Linked DNA regions of Drosophila melanogaster. The protein of the gene in region 1 interacts with the protein of each later gene in a pairwise test. Each region holds a gene or a part of one and is shown in the gene's direction. Other genes may lie near its edges. The genes, in order: tbrd-2, jigr1, Sdic3 and sw.

Evidence for each region.
Region 2: the proteins of tbrd-2 (region 1) and jigr1 interact in a two-hybrid assay, tested with the Drosophila melanogaster proteins (one large-scale study listed by BioGRID).
Region 3: the proteins of tbrd-2 (region 1) and Sdic3 interact in a two-hybrid assay, tested with the Drosophila melanogaster proteins (one large-scale study listed by BioGRID).
Region 4: the proteins of tbrd-2 (region 1) and sw interact in a two-hybrid assay, tested with the Drosophila melanogaster proteins (one large-scale study listed by BioGRID).

The regions. Positions count from the first base shown.
Region 1 is NT_033778.4:19,257,932-19,262,796, forward strand, and holds tbrd-2 (testis-specifically expressed bromodomain containing protein-2), read left to right. Parts: upstream 1-1,977; 5' UTR 1,978-2,133; coding exon 2,134-2,136; intron 2,137-2,190; coding exon 2,191-4,212; 3' UTR 4,213-4,363; downstream 4,364-4,865.
Region 2 is NT_033777.3:25,636,302-25,640,887, forward strand, and holds the start of jigr1 (jing interacting gene regulatory 1), read left to right. Parts: upstream 1-1,541; 5' UTR 1,542-1,771; exon of another isoform or gene 1,772-2,228; intron 2,229-3,491; exon of another isoform or gene 3,492-3,652; intron 3,653-4,586.
Region 3 is NC_004354.4:20,188,939-20,196,259, reverse strand, and holds Sdic3 (Sperm-specific dynein intermediate chain 3), read left to right. Parts: upstream 1-2,032; 5' UTR 2,033-2,139; coding exon 2,140-2,189; intron 2,190-2,257; coding exon 2,258-2,385; intron 2,386-4,294; coding exon 4,295-4,471; intron 4,472-4,854; coding exon 4,855-5,777; intron 5,778-5,844; coding exon 5,845-6,168; 3' UTR 6,169-6,820; downstream 6,821-7,321.
Region 4 is NC_004354.4:20,233,185-20,238,178, reverse strand, and holds the start of sw (short wing), read left to right. Parts: upstream 1-1,980; 5' UTR 1,981-2,096; intron 2,097-2,228; exon of another isoform or gene 2,229-2,375; intron 2,376-2,432; 5' UTR 2,433-2,515; coding exon 2,516-2,670; intron 2,671-2,744; coding exon 2,745-2,891; intron 2,892-3,276; coding exon 3,277-3,404; intron 3,405-3,788; coding exon 3,789-3,851; intron 3,852-4,735; coding exon 4,736-4,756; intron 4,757-4,994. UniProt on the Drosophila melanogaster protein: Acts as one of several non-catalytic accessory components of the cytoplasmic dynein 1 complex that are thought to be involved in linking dynein to cargos and to adapter proteins that regulate dynein function.

The DNA.
Region 1 (4,865 bases):
ACCACGACGAGGGTTAAGAAAATGGGAAACCTGTTTGTATCATCTTGTAACTTGTATCTCCGCTCTGGACAGCCTGTACCTGGACCTGGACCTGCTGTTTCCATACCGAGCCCTATCCTAATTGAGGGTTGGTTGGGGGCATTGAGACTACGAGTTTCCACGCTCTCCACGGATGCTGAGTCAGCGGCAATTGCTAAAAAAATAAATATAAAATCGGACGGAAAGGGAAGGGAAGGGAGAAGGGAGAATGGTGAATCGCCGAGGGATCGGAATCGGATTCGTCGGGATCCTGAGAGCTGCAAGATCGCGTAAGCACCGGGCATCGAACAATTAACAACTGCAGGTCTGCAGGTGCCGAAGACAAACAGCAAAAGTCACATACTCCAAAACACAGGCGGTGCACAATGGCCACAGAAAGTCAGTAAAAAAACATTAGCCAAAGGCAGGGGGCGAAGAGGAAAACGTAGGAAAACCAAGGAAAATGCTAGCCGAGCGGTGGCGGGGGAAAAGGTCCCAGGGAAAACACGCACACACAAAAGAGGATAACTCGGCGACGGGACATGCGAGTGCACATTTTCGTCTATAAAATTTATTCGCATTAATCGCCGTCAGAGATAAAATTAACGAAAGAATGGCCAAGGACGTGGACGTTTGCCGGGGTGAGAGGGCTAAGGGCTCAGTGGTCAGGGGTCGGGGATCTGGGATCGGAGCTGGGACTCAAAGTCCCGGGATGATAACGCAATATTGACACCTTGGCCCAGGCAGGTAGAACCTGCGATAGCCGGGCATTCTGCGTCTCCAGCGATTCCGTGAGTGGTCCTTTCTGTGAGTGCCATTGCCTAAAGAGCAACAAATTTGCAGCACGAAAAGTCCTTAGTCAAGGATATAGGACGACAATCGCAGGACTGTACTGCGAACACTGTGAAACATAGAAGCATATGATATTTAGGAATATTATATAATAATATCGTAATATCTACGATGGGAATTAGTTTGTATAATTTTGCAATTAATTTTGCCCATATTCAAGTTCATAATTTTTACGACTCCTTGTTAATTTGCATTATCGATTGGGATTACAGTGATGACCTCCATTTTGTACGATTTTTCCGGAGTGTGCCCCGTGTCTATTTCCGTAGTGGGCCTGTCCCACCGCGGTGGTTCGCAAATGGTTGCGGAGTCCTTCCTGTCCTCCAGTGGGTGCCTGGTTGGGTGGGTGGTTTGGCTGGTTGGGTGGCTCGTATGCCTAGACAAGCAGCACCGCAAAGTGGAATGAAGCGTATGCGTGTGTAATTAAGTGCGCAAAAAGACGCAGGAGGCTGTCGTGGTGGGCGGCGGTGAGGGGCGTGGCCGTATATCTGTATTTATGGGACACACTTACATATGTATGCAAATAGGAAAAGCGTGTTGTTGTTGCTGTACTCCTTGAAGGTTGTCGGTGGTGGGATGTGCCGATGGGTGGTGGGGTGATAAAAATGTTGATGTAAATTGCAAAAAGCAGTTTTTATGTCCCATTGCCACATTTTCCAACCGGGAGGTGGGGTACAAAACGCTGAAAGCCTCTGAAGTGGTGCAAATTATTATAAATATTCAGTGGATGGGGCCGGTCGGGTGTGGTGGTGGGTGGTATGGGTGGTTGGATGTTTGCCTCCATTCCCTTTGATGTGCCATTGTTTGCTTTAGTTTCGGTGTCTTTCTGATCAACCAGCCTATAATTGGTGCACTGCTGCTTATCGAGGGCTTAAGAATAGGCAGGATTTTAAAATAAACGAATGTTCTAATAGTGACTTTCACTTTTGCAAAATCCTAGGGGTTGCCGCATATTTAAATGCAATGTCTTGGCATCCCTGACTAGAACTTTCGAAACTTTCATGCTAGTGATTTCTAAATGGCAGTAGGCTGTGCAATTACTTCACTTGTCAAAATAGGACAGCTGAGCGGTGATATGTGTTTTTCCATCACAAAAATTTGTTCCTGAAAGCGGACGGTCGAACGGCAAAAGTGTTCCCAAAACTCAATCGTAATCGTAGTCAAATTCGAGTTTATATTTGTGTAAAATTGAAAGAGACACGTTTTCAAAAATCGAAACAAACGAACAACCAGTAACCAGTAACTGAAAAATATATCTCTAGCATGGTGAGTTCGTAAGCTATTCACTGCGCGAATTTCTACAAATCATTCTATTGGCAGGCATCTTGCAAGCCGCTTTCCGTAAAACTAAAACTCCCAAATCGTGTCCAACCCGAGTTTATACCGCATCCCGGAATGGCGGGTCGTTATACCAATAAGTTGCATTACTTCAAGAAGCATTTGCTCGACGAGGCTCGCAAGAAGAAGTATGCCTTGGACTTCTTGGAGCCCGTGGACACGGAGGCTCTGATGGTGCCCACATACTACACGGTTATCCATCGTCCCATGGATATCGGTACCATTGTGAAAAGAGTTCAGAACAACTACTATAAATCTGTCAATGAAGCGATTGCCGATTTCAAGCAAATTATTAGCAATTGCTTCCTATTCAATCGATCCGGCGATGTCGTTTACCGCAAGGGCCAGATGCTGGAGAAGTTCTTTCACAAGAAACTCCGAGGCATGCCGTCTGGTCCAGAGGTGCCCTGCAATAGGGATCCCAAGGCGGTGGGCAGGCCTAGGACCAATGCTCCTAGTTCCGCGCAGACGGAACGCAAGTGCCGGGAATTATTGAAGAAGTTGCAGAGCATCACCAATCAGACAGATGCCATGACGCGCAATTTCTTCAGTAACAAGTGGGATTCGTTGCAAAAGAAAGTTGATCGCCAGTACTTCAAGTCTGTCAATGAATTTTGCTTGCATGTGGATGGCTGCTTTAGAAAGTACCACGAACCGGCTAAAATCCTCTACGAAAGAGTCTTTAATCAGCCGGCGGCTTGGTGTACTTCCATGAATGGAAACTCATCGCTGGAATCTGCTTTGAATGCCGCAGATCTAAATGAACTACTGGCTGCCGCCAAGTTAACGGTAAATAGCTTGATGCAGTGCGTCCAAATGCCCGGTTCCGGGGAACCTCTGACAGCCAAGAGTTTGGTGGAGACTTTCTGTGACACCTTAAACAAGATGATAAACAAAATGGAGGCAGGTCAACGAAATTCTCCAAACCCATCATCTAGCAAACGACAGAAGATGAGCCCCGAGCAGGAAACGGATTTGGTCCAAGGCGAATTTAAGCCAGCTATGGAGTTGTTAAGTGGAAATGAAATAGATAACCTCATGGCAGTTAGCATTGAATCCTCAGATGATGAAGCTATCGATGCCTCAATGCGTATCACTGACGCGGATCGATGTGCCACACAGAAATTATTTGCCAAGCTTCCGACAAACGCCATGAAGGAGATAATTCACATGGTCCAGCAAATCGAAGGATTTTCCTCAGAGAACTGTGGAGATCTGAGCTTCGATGTCAAAGGTCTCGCCACGGATACTATGATCATGATGAAAAGTGCCGTCACCAAGGCAACTAGGGCCCATAGCAAGCTGAAGCTCAAGGACATGCAGCCTTCGGAAAAGGAAGGACTTCAGCGGGCACTGCAGTCGCAGCTGGTGAACATTACACGGATGCTCAACAAAAATCGTCGCCGATGTGGTCCCTTGATCAATTTCAGGAATAAAAACAACACTGCCAATAACGTGGTGCGTAAGAGAGCAACTGCTCCGCTAACCGCCAAATTGAAGCCGCTACAGGCTAATGTAATGGCTCCACAATTGGGAGCAGGTGTTGTTGAGACTCACAATCTGAGCGATACCAGCGACGATGACGTCTCCGCTCCGGTAAAACTGTCGGCTATTGGTGGCACTCCAATGAGGAATCTCCCAATAAATAGTAATCCTTTGCAAATGCAACCCATCAGATCCCCCCCCAAGTTGCCACACGTTGTCGAACTCCAGATGAGCAGCAGCAGCAGCAGCGAGTCGGAAATGAAATCCAAGTCCGGCAGACTTTCTAGGTCCAGGTCCAGGTCCATGTCCGACACCAAGTTGAGACCCAGGTCAAACTCCAGCGCCAGCTCTAGATCTAACTCTAGTTCTAGCTCTGGCTCCAACGCTGGCTCCAGCTCAGGGTCGCGCTCCAGATCAAGCTCCAGTTCCAGTTCATCTTCGAACAACAGCTCCGAGTCCAACGATTCCTCTGACGTTGAAGTGGTCCCCAATGTACCCGAAGGACAGCTGAGGGCCTAATCCTCATAAAGAAGTCTTATGAATTCTTGCATTTTATGTATATGTAAAAAAAAGGGGGGTTTCACTACAAATATCCCAAATATAAGAAAATAAAAACTGTAAACACCTATATTACACATTCATGTGTACATATATGGTTGGACAAGAAACTAAAAAAAATTAATATGTTTGTAATTCATTATTTCCTAAGAGCTTGGGAAATTGCGATCAGAGATTTAGCATCTCCAATCTCTACTGTCTTTGCAACGATCACGTAGACCAGCAAAATTTTCACGAAAAATTATGCAAATTTCCGAACTTTCTCACGATCGCAGCCAAAAAAGGATAACGATGCTCGCAGTACCTGACACCCAGCAGTCAAATTAGAGCGGAGATCACGCAGATCCTGTATCTCGCGGCGGAAGGAGTTTTTCACAGCCAAGGAAATTTGCATAAGATTTTCACTTGGCGAATATAAAGGGAAGGGCGAGGATGCACTCTCATTTGCATAAGGAAACTCGCATTGCGAAACTGCCAAAAGAACTCGGATGCAAACGAAAGTGAAAATGGGATGGAAAAAGGGAAATGCCACAGAGACAGGGGTTAATTACGGGCACAGTGGACGGCGCCTTGTTCACAGCATGCCGACACGCTCGCACACCTGAGTCCTGCGG
Region 2 (4,586 bases), on another chromosome or scaffold:
GTCAGTCATTTAGCCACTCAGTCAGTTTGCCAACCTGTCTCTGTTTGGCATCACCTGCCATCGCCATCGTCTGTTGTCTGTTAATGTGTTTAATGATGCCCTGGCCATCGGCGATCTCAGTTCAGTTTTCATTTATGCTAAATTGCGACTCTTATGCTGCGCTGCAAAAAAGCTGAAATATTAGCCGTCCTCATTATATAAGTACAGACACATTGAAGATAAGCATAAAGCACAATTACAAGCCGAATAAAAAGTTAGTAAACTTAAATCCTTTGTTGGTTTCATTTTCGAAATATGTTATTGATCTTACAAATGATCTTAAATGCCATTAATTGATTTATAGTTCTTAGTTCTTTGATCAAGCTTAAAAAGGATCTGGTTGAAAGAAATGTAATAAATTTCATGGTATCTTTTTCATAGCTAAGCGATCAGCTCTGCTCAAGGTGTGACTATGAGACTCTGTGCCACTCCAGATGTGTCCGGACATGCCTCGTGCCTCAGCGATTGTCCTGATGCGCGATATGCGGGCAGCGCGGGTCTTCGTCTTCTGGTTTCTTCATCGATCTCTAGCCACGCGCCGCAACTTTCCTCGCGACTCTCGGTCGCACTCTTGCCGCCGATGCACCTGCTCGCCAACCAAATGTAAACCCAACTGGCCACCGAATGTGGGCCGCCCTAATGGAGTTGTCCCCGGGCCCAAGGTTCGCAACTTTTACCAGCCTGCTCTGGGCGATCATTAGCTGACAGAAGGCCTCACTCGACGGACAACATTTTTTGGGCTTTAAGTCTTAGTTAAAACTTCTTTTTTGGGCTTCTAGGGGATCTTCTATGCATTCGGAAGGATACAATTGCTGATGTTGGGATATGTACCTATAGTAAGTCAGCAATGAATTTGCTTTCATAAATATACATTAAATCTTTTAAAGTGTATCCTTTACGCAGAACTTTCCATATCTAAATATGTCTCTTAAATTTAAAAATATATTATAAATTATTCTAGAAGTATCCTAAAAAAATCTATTAGGTGAGGCTTTTGAAATCCTTCAAAATCAGTGGCTGCATCCTTATTTAGACAGTCTCTTTCTCGTATGACATAACATCCCCCTGTTCTACGACATTCCAGAAGCCTTGTTAGGGAAACCTTTGGTCCTTTCTGGGAGAGTATCAAGCGATTCGGCGCAGAGAGCGAACAAAGATCGAGGTACCCTTTATTTTTCGAGAGTAAGAGAGTTCATACGAGTTGCTAAGGATATAGCTATGCATCTTATTCTGCATTTAAATTTAAACCAATACACTATGAAAATCCTTAAACAAAAGTATAATTTATACACATATGTATGTATACTTAAGTTGTTATATTTTATGTCTAGCTAACGTCAGACTCCACGACTTGAAGTGTTACTTTATACATTCTATGCCCCTTAAAAGGCAGGTAGTAGGTATCTAAAAGTTGCCACCCCTGCGAGCTGCGTTCCTTTTTGCAGCCGCTGCTTCTGCCGGCGTCGGCAGAGAAATTCGAGTCTGAGTTCTGAAGTCGTTTTCGTTGAGGCGACGAGCTGAGTCGCCGCTGTGGAGGAAATTCAATTGCGCGCAATCCATCGGCGGCGACGGTTGTGTCTCAAAAGAGCCTTCCAACTCCTGACTACTACTGATCAAAAGAAATAAAAGTAAAAAGTGACCAAGTTACTGCGGATCGAGGAAGTTAAAGCCTTGAGCCTCCGGCACGACGATGGTGTGTTAAACATTTTTGTGCGCTTGTGTTTGTTTGTCGGTGAGTTGAGTGCGCGCGCTACTTTTATTTGTTAACTTCACCAAACAGAACCGTTAGTCCCAAGTGCCCTCACAAAAAAAAAAAAATAGAAAAACACCAACTAAAGGAAAAGAAACATCATAAACCGACGAAATATCCCCCAAAGAATCTGTGTAAAAGTGCAAAGAGACAAGGCGGAGAATGCGCCCGAAAAAATCAAGGAAAAAATAACAGAAAAAACATTTGGCTGGGTGCGGTGATCTTGAACCCGGGCTCAACTCCGCGTAACGGTGCATCGGCAAGTGCAGGAAGAAATGGGTGAAGATGGAATAGAGGAGGAAGGAGGAGAAGAAGGATGAGGAGCGCGATGAGGCCGTTGCATTTCTTTTGATTGCTTGTGTATCATCTTCGGGGATCTCTGAGCGCCCACTCTTTTTGCGGGCATTTTCCGCTCATTTTTGGCGCAGCCTCCCAAAAGGTAATCTCCCCAAGTTCCCAAGACCAGCGTTATAAAACTGCCGTTAGTTTTTTTATGTTTAACCGTTTTTGGGCGCAGCCGCGAGGAGTGACTCTCTCCTGCAGATAATTACGGCAAAAAGGTGAAGAATTTATGCTGACCATCAAAATAGCTAATAGTTGGAAGTTAAACTAAAGCGCTCTGCTAAAAAGTCTTTTTGCGCCCAAATGATTGTGCATATAGGCGGGGAAAATGGCGATTTTCCTGTCGCCTTTTGATTTATTTACATGTGCTTTTGCAGAAGCACAAAGAAATAAGAAGCCATTCTTTGTGCAGAAGTCAAACAAACATTCTGACTCATTCTCTTCGCGCTCTTTTTTGTTGAACTTTTATTTGTTTTTTAACATGAGCCCCAGTGCGGGAGAAAGAGCAAGTAAAGTTAAAGTAACGGACAAGGAACATAAGCATCGTCATCGCCCCCAGTTCTTCTCCTTATCCCTACCATCATCACGTGTCGCCAACTCTGTTCTTCGCCTACACAGACATAAAATGTGAGGATCTTAATTTAAATTAGAATGGCAGTTGTAGTTTTTAAAAAGTATTTAAACTAAATATTAAACCAGGATAACTTATTTATTTTTCAAAATCTTCACACTTTCTTCAAGAAACCGATTGATTGAATAATCATTTTGACGAACTTTGATGATGATTCGTATAAGCTATTTCTCTCAGTGCACGCTTTTTGCTCTGGCCATCAGCCATGTCAGCGCCTTCATTATAATAATTTTTATTGCTTTTGCATAAATCAAAAATCATGGAAAAAGAAACAACTGGCAATCGTAAAATGTGAAGAGAGGCTACAAAACATAAAAGGTGCGTTTTTCGACTGTCTGCACTAATTTCACAAAATGTTGTTCGTTGGACCCGCGTTTTCCTTTTTTTTCTTAATCCTCGCATTTCCGTTACTGTTGCTTTTGTTTTTGTGCCAAATCATTGCGGTCTCTGCATACAAATTCATTAGTGACGGCCCCTATTCTTTGCTCTTCTTGCTCCTTTGGAAGAATTCTCCATCTTCACCTTCTCCACCTCCCACACACTCTCGTTTCTGGGAATTGCCATTTTTGTTTTTGTTGTTGTTGGAGCACCTTTCTTGCAGCGGATTCTGCAGGAACTCACACGGCGCCCTCTCTTCTCATCCCCATTTTTTACAAAGCCTCCTTGTTTCTCGCTTTTCTACAGAATTATGCACAAGGCCTAGGGGCAACTTTCTTTTTGTGTGTTTTTAGTTCACAGTTGATAGGCAAAACTTCTGGACCTTTTCAACTCAAATGTAGATAATAGGAAATCAAGGAAAATGCTGCAGTAAAACTACTTTCTTGATGTGAAATATTATTTATACACTCATTTCTTTCCTATACTATTAATTATAACAATTCATGGGTCATGTAAGCATTTATCGTAGTCCATATCAATCAGTCCCAATCTGTCTTTTGCCACATTAGTTTCCCATGGAGTGAACATAACCTTCTAACGCAACAAAGCTCCACATTCCCTAAATAAATTTCAACACTTTGTTTTGTAGCTCTTTCGGAGTCTACAAAACCGAAGCGCACAAAAAATTAAGATCAAATTTTTACCAGCTGCTTAGTTTCAATTTCTTTTTGCTCGATTCTGTCCTGATTACTGTAACCAAAAATGTGACCCACACCCCCTCCCAAAAGCCCACACTTTGACAATTTGGTCACTAATTTTAGGGCCCTATACTCCGATGTCTGAGCGAAATACAGTTGTCGGTAAAATTTTATTGATCTTCGTTTTTTCTGCACAAAAATATAAAATTGTTTCATGGTCGAGGCTCGTCGTTGCTGTTGTTGCCGACGAAATCGAAATCTCGCCAAGAAGCAAACGGCAATCAGCAAATCGAATTCAAAACGCGTGTGTGGAGGGAGGAAGTCCCAGATCCCAGAAGAAGATCCCTTAAGAGAGCCCAAAGAGACGACTCCAGACTTGAGACGCGCCACGACAATAACAACAACAAAGCCGCAATCAGCAAATACTTGGTTTAGGCGGGCCAATACACCGGAAACAATCAAGACTAATATTGACATGACATACCTTAACTAAAATCACTTTGATAGGTGCAAAGATAGTTTCAAGGTTCCAGTCTATTCAATTTATATGTAATTATTTATTCAAATTTGGCGAGGTTATTAATTATCTTATTTGACCGTTATGACTGGGTAATATTTGGCAGTGTAGCCACTGTCCCATCGAAGAGCCACAAAGGGCCGCCCGAAAAAATATTTTTATCTTGATATTTCTGTTTTTTTGCCGCTGTTTGTTGTTGTTGCTGTTCTAAATACGCCAAAAGTTGCTTTC
Region 3 (7,321 bases), on another chromosome or scaffold:
CTCGGAAAACCTGCGTGTCCAGAGTGTCCGTCTTGTATTTTAACCTGGCTTGGGCTGCTATCTGGGCTTCGGACGAGGGAGGGCATCCCAGGTCGCAAAAGATGGCCAAGTGGTCGCTGCCAGTGTAACTCTCGCTGAGTCTCCACCTCGTTAGCGTGAACGACGAGCCGCTAGTGAAGGTGAGGTCCACCACAGAGCCCAGTCCGGCGCGCCTGAACATGTGCCGGTTTCCATGGTTTAGAAGAGCCCGGTCCAACGTCGCTAATGCCTCCAGCGCCATCCTGCCTCTCGCGTTGGTGGTTCAACTGCCCCAGCTCGCTGACCTTGCGTTGAAGTCGCCCGCTATAAGAATCTGGGTGCGGCCTCTAGCGTCCGCTGCCAGTCTATCTAATGCCCGACTAATTGCGATTAAGGTCAGGCTGGGGGCTAGGTATAAGCTGTACACCCACCATCTGCCTACCCTAGCCCTAACAAATCCGATGTCCGAAAGAACATCTGTTAATTGTTGGGCTTCTCTGCTGCACCTCCAGATCGCTGCTTTCTTGGAGCGGTCGGGCTCCACTCTGCGTTCGCGCACCGTCTGCACTAGCAGGTCTTGGCCTGCAGTGCAGTGATTCAGGTTTAGCTGAATCAAAAGCATCATTGCAGTGCCTTTGGTGCTCCTTTTCCCGCCAATGGGCACTTCCGGGTGCCCATTTGGTGGTTGGTCGCTTGGGTTCCTCTGCTTGCGCACAAGAAGCACTTAGCTTCGTTAGGACACTCGGAGGCCTTGTGTCCCGCGGTCACGCATTTGAAGCAGCACTGGCTTCTGTCGACGGTGCTTTTACAATGGACCGCTATGTGGCCTTCCTCCAGACATCTGAAGCATCTTTGGCGTGGCTCCAGCTCCTTGATCTGGCATGTGAAATGTTATATGTGTAAATGATCTGATCTGGAGTGCGTGACGGACTGGACACGCCCGTCGACGTCGGTCAGGCCAAGGAGCAGGCCGCCCAGCTCTACTCGGCCGGCGAGGCCAAGCTGGGAACGGACGAGGAGGTCTTCAACCGGATCATGTCGCACGCCAGCTTCCCGCAGCTGCGACTCGTCTTCGAGGAGTACAAGGAGCTCTCCGGGCAGACCATCGAGCAGGCCATCAAGCACGAGATGTCCGACGAGCTGCACGAGGCCATGATGGCCATAGGTCAGTATATACATATTTAACTGTTCCGTTATAAGTAATTGTTGTAACAGACACTTGGTTAAATGACACACTTCTTAACCTTTTAGTTGAGTGCGTCCAGTCACCGGCGGCCTTCTTCGCCAACCGCCTGTACAAGGCCATGAATGGCGCCGGCACCGATGACGCCACGCTCATCCGCATCATCGTCAGCCGCTCGGAGATCGACCTGGAGACCATTAAGCAGGAGTTCGAGCGGATCTACAACCGTACGCTGCACAGCGCCGTGGTGGTAAGTGGATCTCGAAGAATCGCAAGTGCTTCGCACATGGTTAACGCACCCCTTTCCCCTTCTCTTCACGTACTTGTCGGTATTTGTTGCGGTGTTTGTGTTGTCCTAGGACGTAAGTATTGGCCACGCCATTGGTGAAACGGATGCATTCCTGGTCTTGGTTACTCCACGCTATCAAGTGCTCCTTTTACGCTACATATGCTGCCAAAATCCCCATCAAATTATTTCTAAGAACGCCGAAGCAAACTGGTTCTTGGGCATTTTTCGATATCTCATTATTGGCTTGCCAAAAAAGTATTTTCGGGCAAAGTAGTAATTGTAGTGTAGAGGGCATAGCCAAAAAAGCAAGAACTTGGATCTCGCTTCAATACGTTCCTTTCTTTACTTTCCAGGCGGAGACCTCTGGTGACTACAAGCGGGCCCTGACAGCCCTACTTGGATCCGCCTAGGCCCGAGGATGTGGCAGCTGGTCCGCCCAATATTTTATTCGTGTTAATAGCTTTGATCGTAGTGTGCCTCTGGGGGAAATTCTCTTGGATTCCCCATCTATGAGTTTAACGTCAAAACAATATCAGTAGTCAAAATTGGAATCCTGGTTAGAGAGCATTGTAATCCAAACACAATTTTTACAATTTTAGCTTTAGCCGTTTTTTAAATTGAATAAGCTTAGTATTACACAGATTGGACAATGGGCTTAGTACTGATTAAGTTTTTACGATCAACGTATTCTACTTTGAGGTACTATAACTATTGCCATTTAACCAATTCCTAACTAATACCGATTTCTTATGTGCACCCCCCACCAGCGGCGGAAAGAAACAGCCTCTCAACCTAAGCGTCTACAATGTGCAGGCTACGAACATTCCACCAAAAGAGACACTGGTCTACACAAAGCAGACCCAGACGACCAGTACCGGAGGCGGAAACGGCGATGGTGCGTATTGCCCCCGGGGCGGGGATCTGGTTGGGCTCTACCGTAACCACTATCCATAGTTTGACTCCATCTTTCGCTACTGTTACCGTTCTTATTCTTGGTCTCGTTGTTAAATGTGTTTGGCTTCCCTGCGCTCCTGTTTCCCCGACTCCGTCCCCGTCCGCCGGAGGAGCAGTGTATCTATCTGTCCCTCTCACTCTCTCTGTCCATGTCTGTGCTCCAAACTCTCCCTTTCTGTCTGGTGCTAGCTTACACCGCTGCATGCTGACCCTGTTTCCGCGCTTTGTTCCCCATCAAGTGCCCCCAACTCCCGTCCCTCCCAGCAGAGAAAAAAAACTAAGATGCAAACAGAAACCATAATCCATAGTGAAATAAAATAACAAATACAGTTCTTTCTTGCCACTCCTCGCCTCTGTCAGGATATATGGAGGACTGGTGGCGTCCACGTAAAGGTCCTAATCTTAATTTTAAGCAAACTCCACACCTAATCACACATCAGCACACAAAACTTGTTGTGACAAAACGAAGCGGCATACACATGTGAATACACGAAGAGCTCCATGTGAAGCGCCCACACGACTTAGTCTAAATTTGCTGTAAGGCTCTGCAGGCAGAAGGATGTCAGCATCGTACATGCGTAGACAATTCGGTGGACTATCTACTTAACTGCTTGAATTTAGACAGCTTCCTTTTGCTTTGCCTCGGCCCAATTTGGTTGCGATGCCCAAGAAACGTAGTTGCTGGTCGATTGATCATCTTATGACAGATTTCTCTTGATTTGGTCAATCCGCATTATTGGTTTTTGGTTCCTTCAGTGCTCTCAATTTAGCCCATCTATCCCAGCAATTGTTTTTGTTAATTTATTTTAAAAATCTGAGGAACCATCCGTCACTATTTTGTTTACTATGCAATATTAGGCACACTATCTAAGCACTTCAATCCGAACTTTATAAAAATAAGTATCCTTTTGTCGTTCCTGTCCACCCCTATGAAGTCTAAAAACTTTCTTTAATTTTTGTCGCGTTTTTTTAAGCACCAAGGAATCACCAAGCATTACACCAATTGGTCATGGTCTTGGTCTTGGTCTCCACTCATTTCCGCATATCAACCGCTGTCCAGCATCAATCTGTCCATCCACATGCAAATCCACATCCATCTGCTTGTGTACATCCTACATTTGCATGACTGCTGATGCTACTGCATTGCCCGCCCCTCATTGTGTGTAGTGTTGCTAATCCCAGTCATTCATCCTGAAACCCGAGATAACAATGTCCTAACCACTAACAAAACTTATCGAAAACAACGAATACGCAGCAGCGACAGGAAGCTAGACTTGCTCCATTTCACGCACTCTCACGCAAACTCGACAGCGAGCGACCTTTGCCTGTCTCGCTCTCTCAGCTATTGATTCCGATAACCGATACCCTCTTCAATTACAGCACTATTATAGAATCGATCAATAAGCCGTTAACCTTAACTTGTTTAATTTATATGTAATATATTCGTTATATGTCTATCCCTTTCCCCCGATGTGATGCACGCACGCACACAGCCACACTCGAAAGAAGACGAGGACAGGCGAGAGGAACAAATGTACTGCAATGCTCCTTCTCTCCCTCTCTCTCGCTTTCCCCCTTACACTAAGAGCTTCATCGAATCCCCAAAATCCGAAACCCACAATCCCGCCTCAATGAGCCCCACAAACAAAGTCAAATGTCTCAGAAAATTACGGTTCCTAGCCAAGCGAAACGAAGACGAAGAAGAACGCGTAATGATAACTCAATCTAAACTCAAATAAGTTCAAAACCAAATCGAATCAGATCGAATCAATCAGAGCCGAAAGTAGAATTGTTCCTGTTCTGTCGATTGTCATGTTCCTCTAGCTGTGTTAGTTTTATACCTTAAACAGTGCTTGCATTTGATGCCCAAGGAGACGACGAAGAGAGCTCACTGCAGAACCTGGGCAACGGATTCACCTCCAAGCTGCCACCGGGCTATCTCACCCACGGCCTGCCCACCGTTAAGGACGTCGCCCCGGCCATCACACCACTCGAGATCAAGAAGGAGACTGAAGTGAAGAAGGAGGGTGAGTCACCACGTCGAATAGACATCTATTTACATTCTCTCGAATTCCCACCCTTAATGAAAAAGTCTTTCTTTCATTATACTAACTGTTATTTTTATTTATCAACCAGATATTTTTTTATTAATTAGTAGACCTTATAAAATCATTCGTTTGTTCTCTTGTTTGGTTAATGCTAGCAAAATATTTATTAATATTTAAGGTTTTGTTATGTTTTGCTTCCAAATGATGATGATATGCATTTGCATTGATGCATTTTATAATAATAAAAGCTCAAATGTTGTTTAGATCAGTGCTAAAGAATTCGCGTGCATTTCCATTGCACGCATGGAAATGTTGAGTAAGAAGCTATTCACAAATATTCCTCCTCTCCATCTTTCCTCCAGTCAACGAGCTGTCCGAGGAGCAGAAGCAGATGATCATACTGTCGGAGAACTTCCAGCGGTTCGTGGTGCGTGCCGGCCGCGTCATCGAACGGGCCCTCTCGGAGAATGTGGACATATACACGGACTACATCGGCGGCGGCGACAGCGAGGAGGCGAACGACGAGCGATCGCATGCGCGGCTCTCGCTGAACCGCGTCTTCTACGACGAGCGCTGGTCGAAGAACCGCTGCATCACCAGCATGGACTGGTCCACCCACTTCCCCGAGCTGGTGGTGGGCTCGTACCACAACAACGAGGAGAGTCCGAACGAGCCGGACGGCGTGGTGATGGTTTGGAACACCAAGTTCAAGAAGAGCACGCCCGAGGACGTCTTCCACTGCCAGAGCGCGGTGATGTCCACCTGCTTTGCCAAGTTCAATCCCAACCTGATCCTCGGCGGCACCTATTCGGGCCAGATTGTGCTGTGGGACAATCGCGTGCAGAAGCGCACGCCCATACAGCGCACGCCCCTCAGTGCCGCGGCGCACACGCATCCCGTCTACTGCCTCCAAATGGTGGGCACCCAGAATGCGCACAACGTCATCTCCATATCCTCGGACGGCAAGCTGTGCTCCTGGTCGCTGGACATGCTGTCGCAACCACAGGACACGCTGGAGCTGCAGCAGCGCCAGTCTAAGGCCATTGCCATTACATCGATGGCCTTCCCGGCCAACGAGATCAATAGCCTGGTGATGGGCAGTGAGGACGGCTACGTCTACTCCGCCTCGCGCCACGGCCTGCGCTCCGGGGTCAACGAGGTTTACGAACGCCATCTTGGCCCTATCACTGGCATATCCACGCACTACAACCAGCTGTCGCCGGACTTTGGCCACCTCTTCCTAACCTCGTCCATTGACTGGACCATCAAGCTCTGGTCGCTAAAGGTACCCATTTCAAGTTGCCAGTTCTCTGTCGTCTCCGGAATTAATTCAAATATGCCCACTCTTTCAGGACACAAAGCCGCTGTACTCCTTTGAGGACAACTCCGACTACGTGATGGACGTCGCCTGGTCGCCCGTGCATCCCGCACTCTTCGCCGCCGTCGACGGCAGCGGTCGCCTGGACCTGTGGAACCTCAACCAAGACACGGAGGTGCCGATCGCCTCGATTGTCGTGGCGGGAGCACCAGCCCTTAACCGCGTCTCTTGGACCCCATCCGGTCTGCACGTGTGCATCGGCGACGAGGCCGGCAAGCTGTACGTGTACGACGTGGCCGAGAACCTGGCGCAGCCATCGCGCGACGAGATCAAGATGAACCAGAGCGATGAGGTCTAGGACGATATAGTTAACTGGTAGTTGAGAGTCGGTACCACTTTTGCTAATCTTACAGGAGCGACCTTGAATGAAATTTAATTTGTATTTTTGTATCTTTTGTGATCCCGCTACTGTGTATAGCCCAGAACTCAAAACTCAACCGCAGTCCAAGTGCTCAGAATCACTCCAAAGCCCCCAAGAAATCAGGGGAAACTGCAAAATTCTCTAGATGACCACAGTAACTGTAACTGTAACTGTATTATTTTGTTACTCAATATTGGTTTCATTCCATAGCTATTTTCCCAGTTCTGTTCCCACCAAAAATCGCAACCAAATTGGCTATTCCGACTCCCCGGAAATTTGATTGGTGGTGGTAACTGAACTGCAAATAGGATTCATACTTGATTTTAAATTAGTGCAACTAACAAGATTGCAGAAAGATCGTTTATTGTTTATTCGACTGTCGGGCAGGCTGAAAGCAACACATAAATAAATTAAATGCTACATATTATATACAACAACGTATTAAGCGTGGAAGTGGGGGCTTGGGAATGAAGGTACGAGGACTGAAGATGGAGCTACGTCCCCTCAACTGAAAGAGCCCAAATGTAAATGTATTATAGCGAAGCCTATTTAACGAGATTAAATAAACATAATATCTATATATACACCTATAAGAAAGAGATGTCTATTATTTGGCTCGGATATAACCCTCAGAAATGAATTTATTCGATATTTTGTTTGTTTTTTTAATTCGTTTATTTAAGATTAACAGATTAACAATGTAACAGTAAGGATGGCAAATCCAGGACCCCCCGCGGTATGGCTGCATTGCTTCGCGAGGACGATCAGGATTTGCTTACTCGTAGACCCTCCTGGCTCTCTCGGCTCTTCTGAGCTCGGTGGTTATCGCTGCGGCGAAGCTGTTGACCGCTTGCCATTTCGCATCACCCTGCAGCATGAATGGGACTAGGTTATCCGCAGTCAGTCTGCTGCCAAGTACGGTTTCCAGAGAGCTCCGTTCCCTTGCATATTTAACCCACGAGAAGAGAACGTGCTCTGCTGTTTCGCTCCATCTACTTCTGCACCATGGGCAATCATTCGCCTCCTCATGTCCAAAGCGCTTCACATATCTGCGAAAGCAACCGTGTCCACTGACCAGCTGCGTTAGATG
Region 4 (4,994 bases), on another chromosome or scaffold:
ATATATGTACATAATATATGCATAAATATGCTAAGCGGCCACGCAATGACCCAAAAGCCGCTGTCCTTGGGAGATGCGATCGATCCGCTCCGATCGGAGTAGGAAAGAAATAAAAAATAATGAAAATATAATCAGCTATCGGAGATCGGAGATGCGGCCAAACCAGACGGGCTGGGAAACTAGTTTAGGTTGGCGGCGTGTAGTGGCTAATTAACAATACACTTTTACTCTCGCCCGATCCCATGTGGAAACCAGGTGGAGGTGGTTCTTGGAAGCCCGGCCAGACGTCTAAATCTGAAATTCAATTGGCAAATTAATTTGTAAACTAATCGCGCTGGCATCTCGACTTCGGTGCGACAGGTTTGGCCTGGCAATTAGCGCGGGGAAAAAGCGAAGATATTAAGTATCCGCTCATCGGTTTGCCAACTCCCGCCCATGTGCAAGATTTGTCGGCCTGGAGCAAAAAGTTGAGCAGTCGAAGATTTGGCAATTCAAGGTTTTTACTGCAGCATGGGGGATCATCGGAGCGATTCCAGTTCGAGTCCGGTTTATCAATGCGGTTACGAAACGAGCAACTCGGACTACAGTTTTTGGGTCGTCGAATGCTGGCATTTAAATTCAGATGTGCAGATGTGCAGATGCGCCAAATCGAATCGAAATAAAATCCCCAAAAGTTTCATGGGCGCTTTAACCCCATGAAAACCTCTTCCTTGGCACTTTGGATACGGTATCTTTCAGATACTTTCAGATACTTTCGGATACATTCAGATACGACCGAAGGCACGTACTACTGTTGGATTCGCTTTGCGCCCCGCGTTGCAGCAACATCTGGCATTGGTGGCACAAATTATGGCATACATTGTGGAAAGACACATCGCCTAAGTGCGCTTTCTATTTCCACGGCGGGTTCTGGTGATTTCACTGGCCCAAAGACGCGCATTGAATGTAATTGGCACTTTGGAGGGGCAATTAAAACACGACATATCTACATACATATGTACATACGTATGTATGTACATACTTTCAGAACCCTGAACGTATTTTGTAAGCTCAGTAGTTTTGAGTCACTATGGGAATTTCAGCGGTATTGGTAATTTTTTACAAGAATAGTCTTGCTTACCTTTCTTAATTAATTAATTTTTACATTTTGTAGTACTTCACACTCAGCATTTTAATCAAACAAATGCACAGGTTGTGGGCATTAATTTTAGCTGAATTTTAGACCTAAAAGGATTATTTAATTTTGTATGCATATGGGACATCAGTGTATTATCATTAAGGTACTGTGTATCAATTCGAATTTACCTACAGATACCTCTCTTGAATCTATAAATTAAAAGTTACGCTTCAGAAAGCAACACTGATATTTCATAGTGCATGTGTGTGAGTGTGCAAAACTTTTTTATGATAACTGTAAGCCACCTATAACATAACAATTTTAAAATGCGGCATATCTCTGTATTAACATACTTTTTACCTATTATTAATTATGGTAATATAATTATATATTAATCTAATATATTTATAATTAATATTAATAATTAATAATTAATAATTAATAATATATAATATAATATATATATATATATATATATATATATATTCAGTTTGAAGCTCTATTTAAGCATGATTTGTAGATTTCTTCCATAAATAAATATAAATATTAATAAATATAAAGTGTGTTGCAGTGTATGTGAAATGTAACTGTAACTAACAGCGTTCTGCTAAACGCAGTAGTGCTGCCAGATCGCTGCGCTAGTGCATGGAAAGACTGGAACTATCGCTGTCACGACAGCTGTTCACAGCTATCGCCGTACAGTAGTAAAATCTTATTCTTGTGTTTAAACTTGTGTTAATTAAGAATTCGGAATCCCGCTAAGAATCCTAGTCTTCCACACCCTTTGGGCATCTATGTAAACCAGCCGCGCCCATTATCTCCTTCGTGTGCCAATAACTGTGCGAAGTAACTGGCCGTGGGCGATGTTCCATCTCTAGTTAGTCAAAACATTAAAAGTCAGTCGCATTTTTACATTGTTGAAAAATGATGATTTAAGTACTTAAAAAGCAGCCGAACAACGAGTAAAGACAGTCAAGAGGTGGGTTTTTGTGCATTTCATGGAAAAATCACAAGAGCAGTGAGAGAAGGAAGTTGAAAAACGCAGCCAGGGCGAAAAGACGTCACAGTCCAATCGCTGGATTATTGATTTTTTTTTTTTGGCCGAGCAAAGGAAAGTAAAGTGACGGCCACTCACTGGGTTACCGGGAAATGTGCTCCACTTGGCGATAGGAGAACATATGAGTTGGCTGCGCCACGCCAAGCGAGCGGTGGAGAACCACACAGCGCACCCACTTTCTTTGCTTCTGGCCAGCAGTTGGTGACATCATCAAAGCTACCAATATTGGCGACCATTAATCATGCATCCCCCTTGCAGAGAACTTGGCCCGCCAGAGATCTAGAGTCCCGTACCGAACGCCCACTCGAACAGCAAATCGCAGCAGCTAATCGCCCCGAGAAATGGATCGCAAGGCTGAGCTGGAACGCAAGAAGGCCAAGTTGGCCGCCCTGCGCGAGGAGAAGGATCGCCGGCGTCGCGAGAAGGAGATCAAGGACATGGAGGAGGCGGCCGGTCGCATTGGCGGCGGAGCAGGCATCGACAAGGATCAGCGCAAGTGGGTTTGCCATAAGCTTCTCCTCAGAGCTGACTCAGCACCGCCATCATCCAACTTTCGTTCGCCTCTTTCAGGGATCTCGACGAAATGCTGTCATCGCTGGGCGTGGCCCCCGTCTCCGAGGTCCTTTCCTCACTCTCCTCCGTCAACTCGATGACTTCGGACAACTCGAACACACAGACCCCCGACGCCAGCCTCCAAGCCACTGTCAATGGCCAGAGGTAAGCCAGTTCATAGCAAAAGCTTTGTGAGTAGAATTACCATCTTAAGCAGAAGTTCGCAGGGCATATTAGACATATTCAGGTCATATAGGTATAGACATTTGATTCCCTAAGTTTTTTTTGCTAAACAACTGTAGAGACAGATTCCCCATCTACAAGCTTAACATAAAAAAATATCAGTAGTCAAAATTGGAATCCTGGTTAGAGAGCGTGGCAATTTTTACAATTCAATTTTAGCATTAGCCGTTTTAAAAATTAGTATTACACAGATTAGACAATGGGCTTAGTACTGATTAAGTTTTAACGATCAATGTATTGTACTATTGCTATTGCCATTTAACCGATTCCTAACTAATACCAATTTCTTATGTGCACCCCCCACCAGCGGCGGAAAGAAACAGCCCCTCAACCTAAGCGTCTACAATGTGCAGGCTACGAACATTCCACCAAAAGAGACACTGGTCTACACAAAGCAGACCCAGACGACCAGTACCGGAGGCGGAAACGGCGATGGTGCGTATTGCCCCCGGGGCGGGGATCTGGTTGGGCTCTACCGTAACCACTATCCATAGTTTGACTCCATCTCTCGCTACTGTTACCGTTCTTATTCTTGGTCTCGTTGTTAAATGTGTTTGGCTTCCCTGCTGTTTCCCAGACTCCGTCACCGTCCGCCGGAGGAGCAGTGTATCTATCTGTCCCTCTCACTCTCTCTGTCCATGTCTGTGCTCCAAACTCTCCCTTTCTGTCTGGTGCTAGCTTACACCGCTGCATGCTGACCCTGTTTCCGCGCTTTGTTCCCCATCAAGTGCCCCCAACTCCCGTCCCTCCCAGCAGAGAAAAAAAACAAAGATGCAAACAGAAACCATAATCCATAGTGAAATAAAATAACAAATACAGTTCTTTCTTGCCACTCCTCGCCTCTGTCAGGATATATGGAGGACTGGTGGCGTCCACGTAAAGGTACTAATCTTAATTTTAAGCAAACTCCACACCTAATCACACATCAGCACACGAAAGTTATTGTGACAAAACGAAGCGGCATACACATGTGAATACACGAAGAGCTCCATGTGAAGCGCCCACACGACTTAGTCTAAATTTGCTGTAAGGCTCTGCAGGCAGAAGGATGTCAGCATCGTACATGCGTAGACAATTCGGTGGACTATCTACTTAACTGCTTGAATTTAGACAGCTTCCTTTTGCTTTGCCTCGGCCCAATTTGGTTGCAATGCCCAAGAAACGTAGTTTCTGGTCGATTGATCATCTTATGACAGATTTCTCTTGATTTGGTCAATCCGCATTATTGGTTTTTGGTTCCTTCAGTGCTCTCAATTTAGCCCATCTATCCCAGCAATTGTTTTTGTTAGTTTATTTTATAAATGTTCGAAACTGGAAAAGCTCAGACACGATTTCAAAAACCATTCGTCACTATTTTGTATACTATGCAATATTCAGCACACTATCTGAACACTTCAATCCGAACTTTTAAAAATATAGGTTGTAAATGGTACTGCAACGCAATGTGTCATGTTTATCCCCTCTTTAAACACGCCTTTTTATAATTATTACTTTAATTTTTGTCGCGTTTTTGTAAAGGTTATTGGTAGCACTAAGCATTACACCAATTGGCCTTGTTTCGCTTCATTAACGCCGCAGTCTCGACTCATTTCCGCATGGCCACCGCTGTCCAGCATCAATCTTTCCATCCACATCCATCCATGTCCACATCCGAACCCATAGATCATTAGAGTGTAAACCGTTCGAGCGCATTTAATAATTTGTCTATTTACTTTCTCTTTCTTCCCTCTTAACTGTTTTTGGCACGCACGAAAAAAAAACTGCAGCTCATGCTACGGATTATTATGGTGAGTAGTCCTCGTTGTATGCGTAATTCCGTACTTAGAACTTTTCAGCCTCCGTAGCGGTCTGTGTGCCACTCGTAAGAAGCGTATCTATACCCGTAGTCCTATATATTACCATTACCTTGAAACCTCTCTATGCTGAACTTCTCTATATACTCACATTATGTATTTGTGTAGTTTGCTCAATATCTATCCACAACACGATCTATGCTCCTTAGAGTTTTTCTGACTTGCTTAGTGT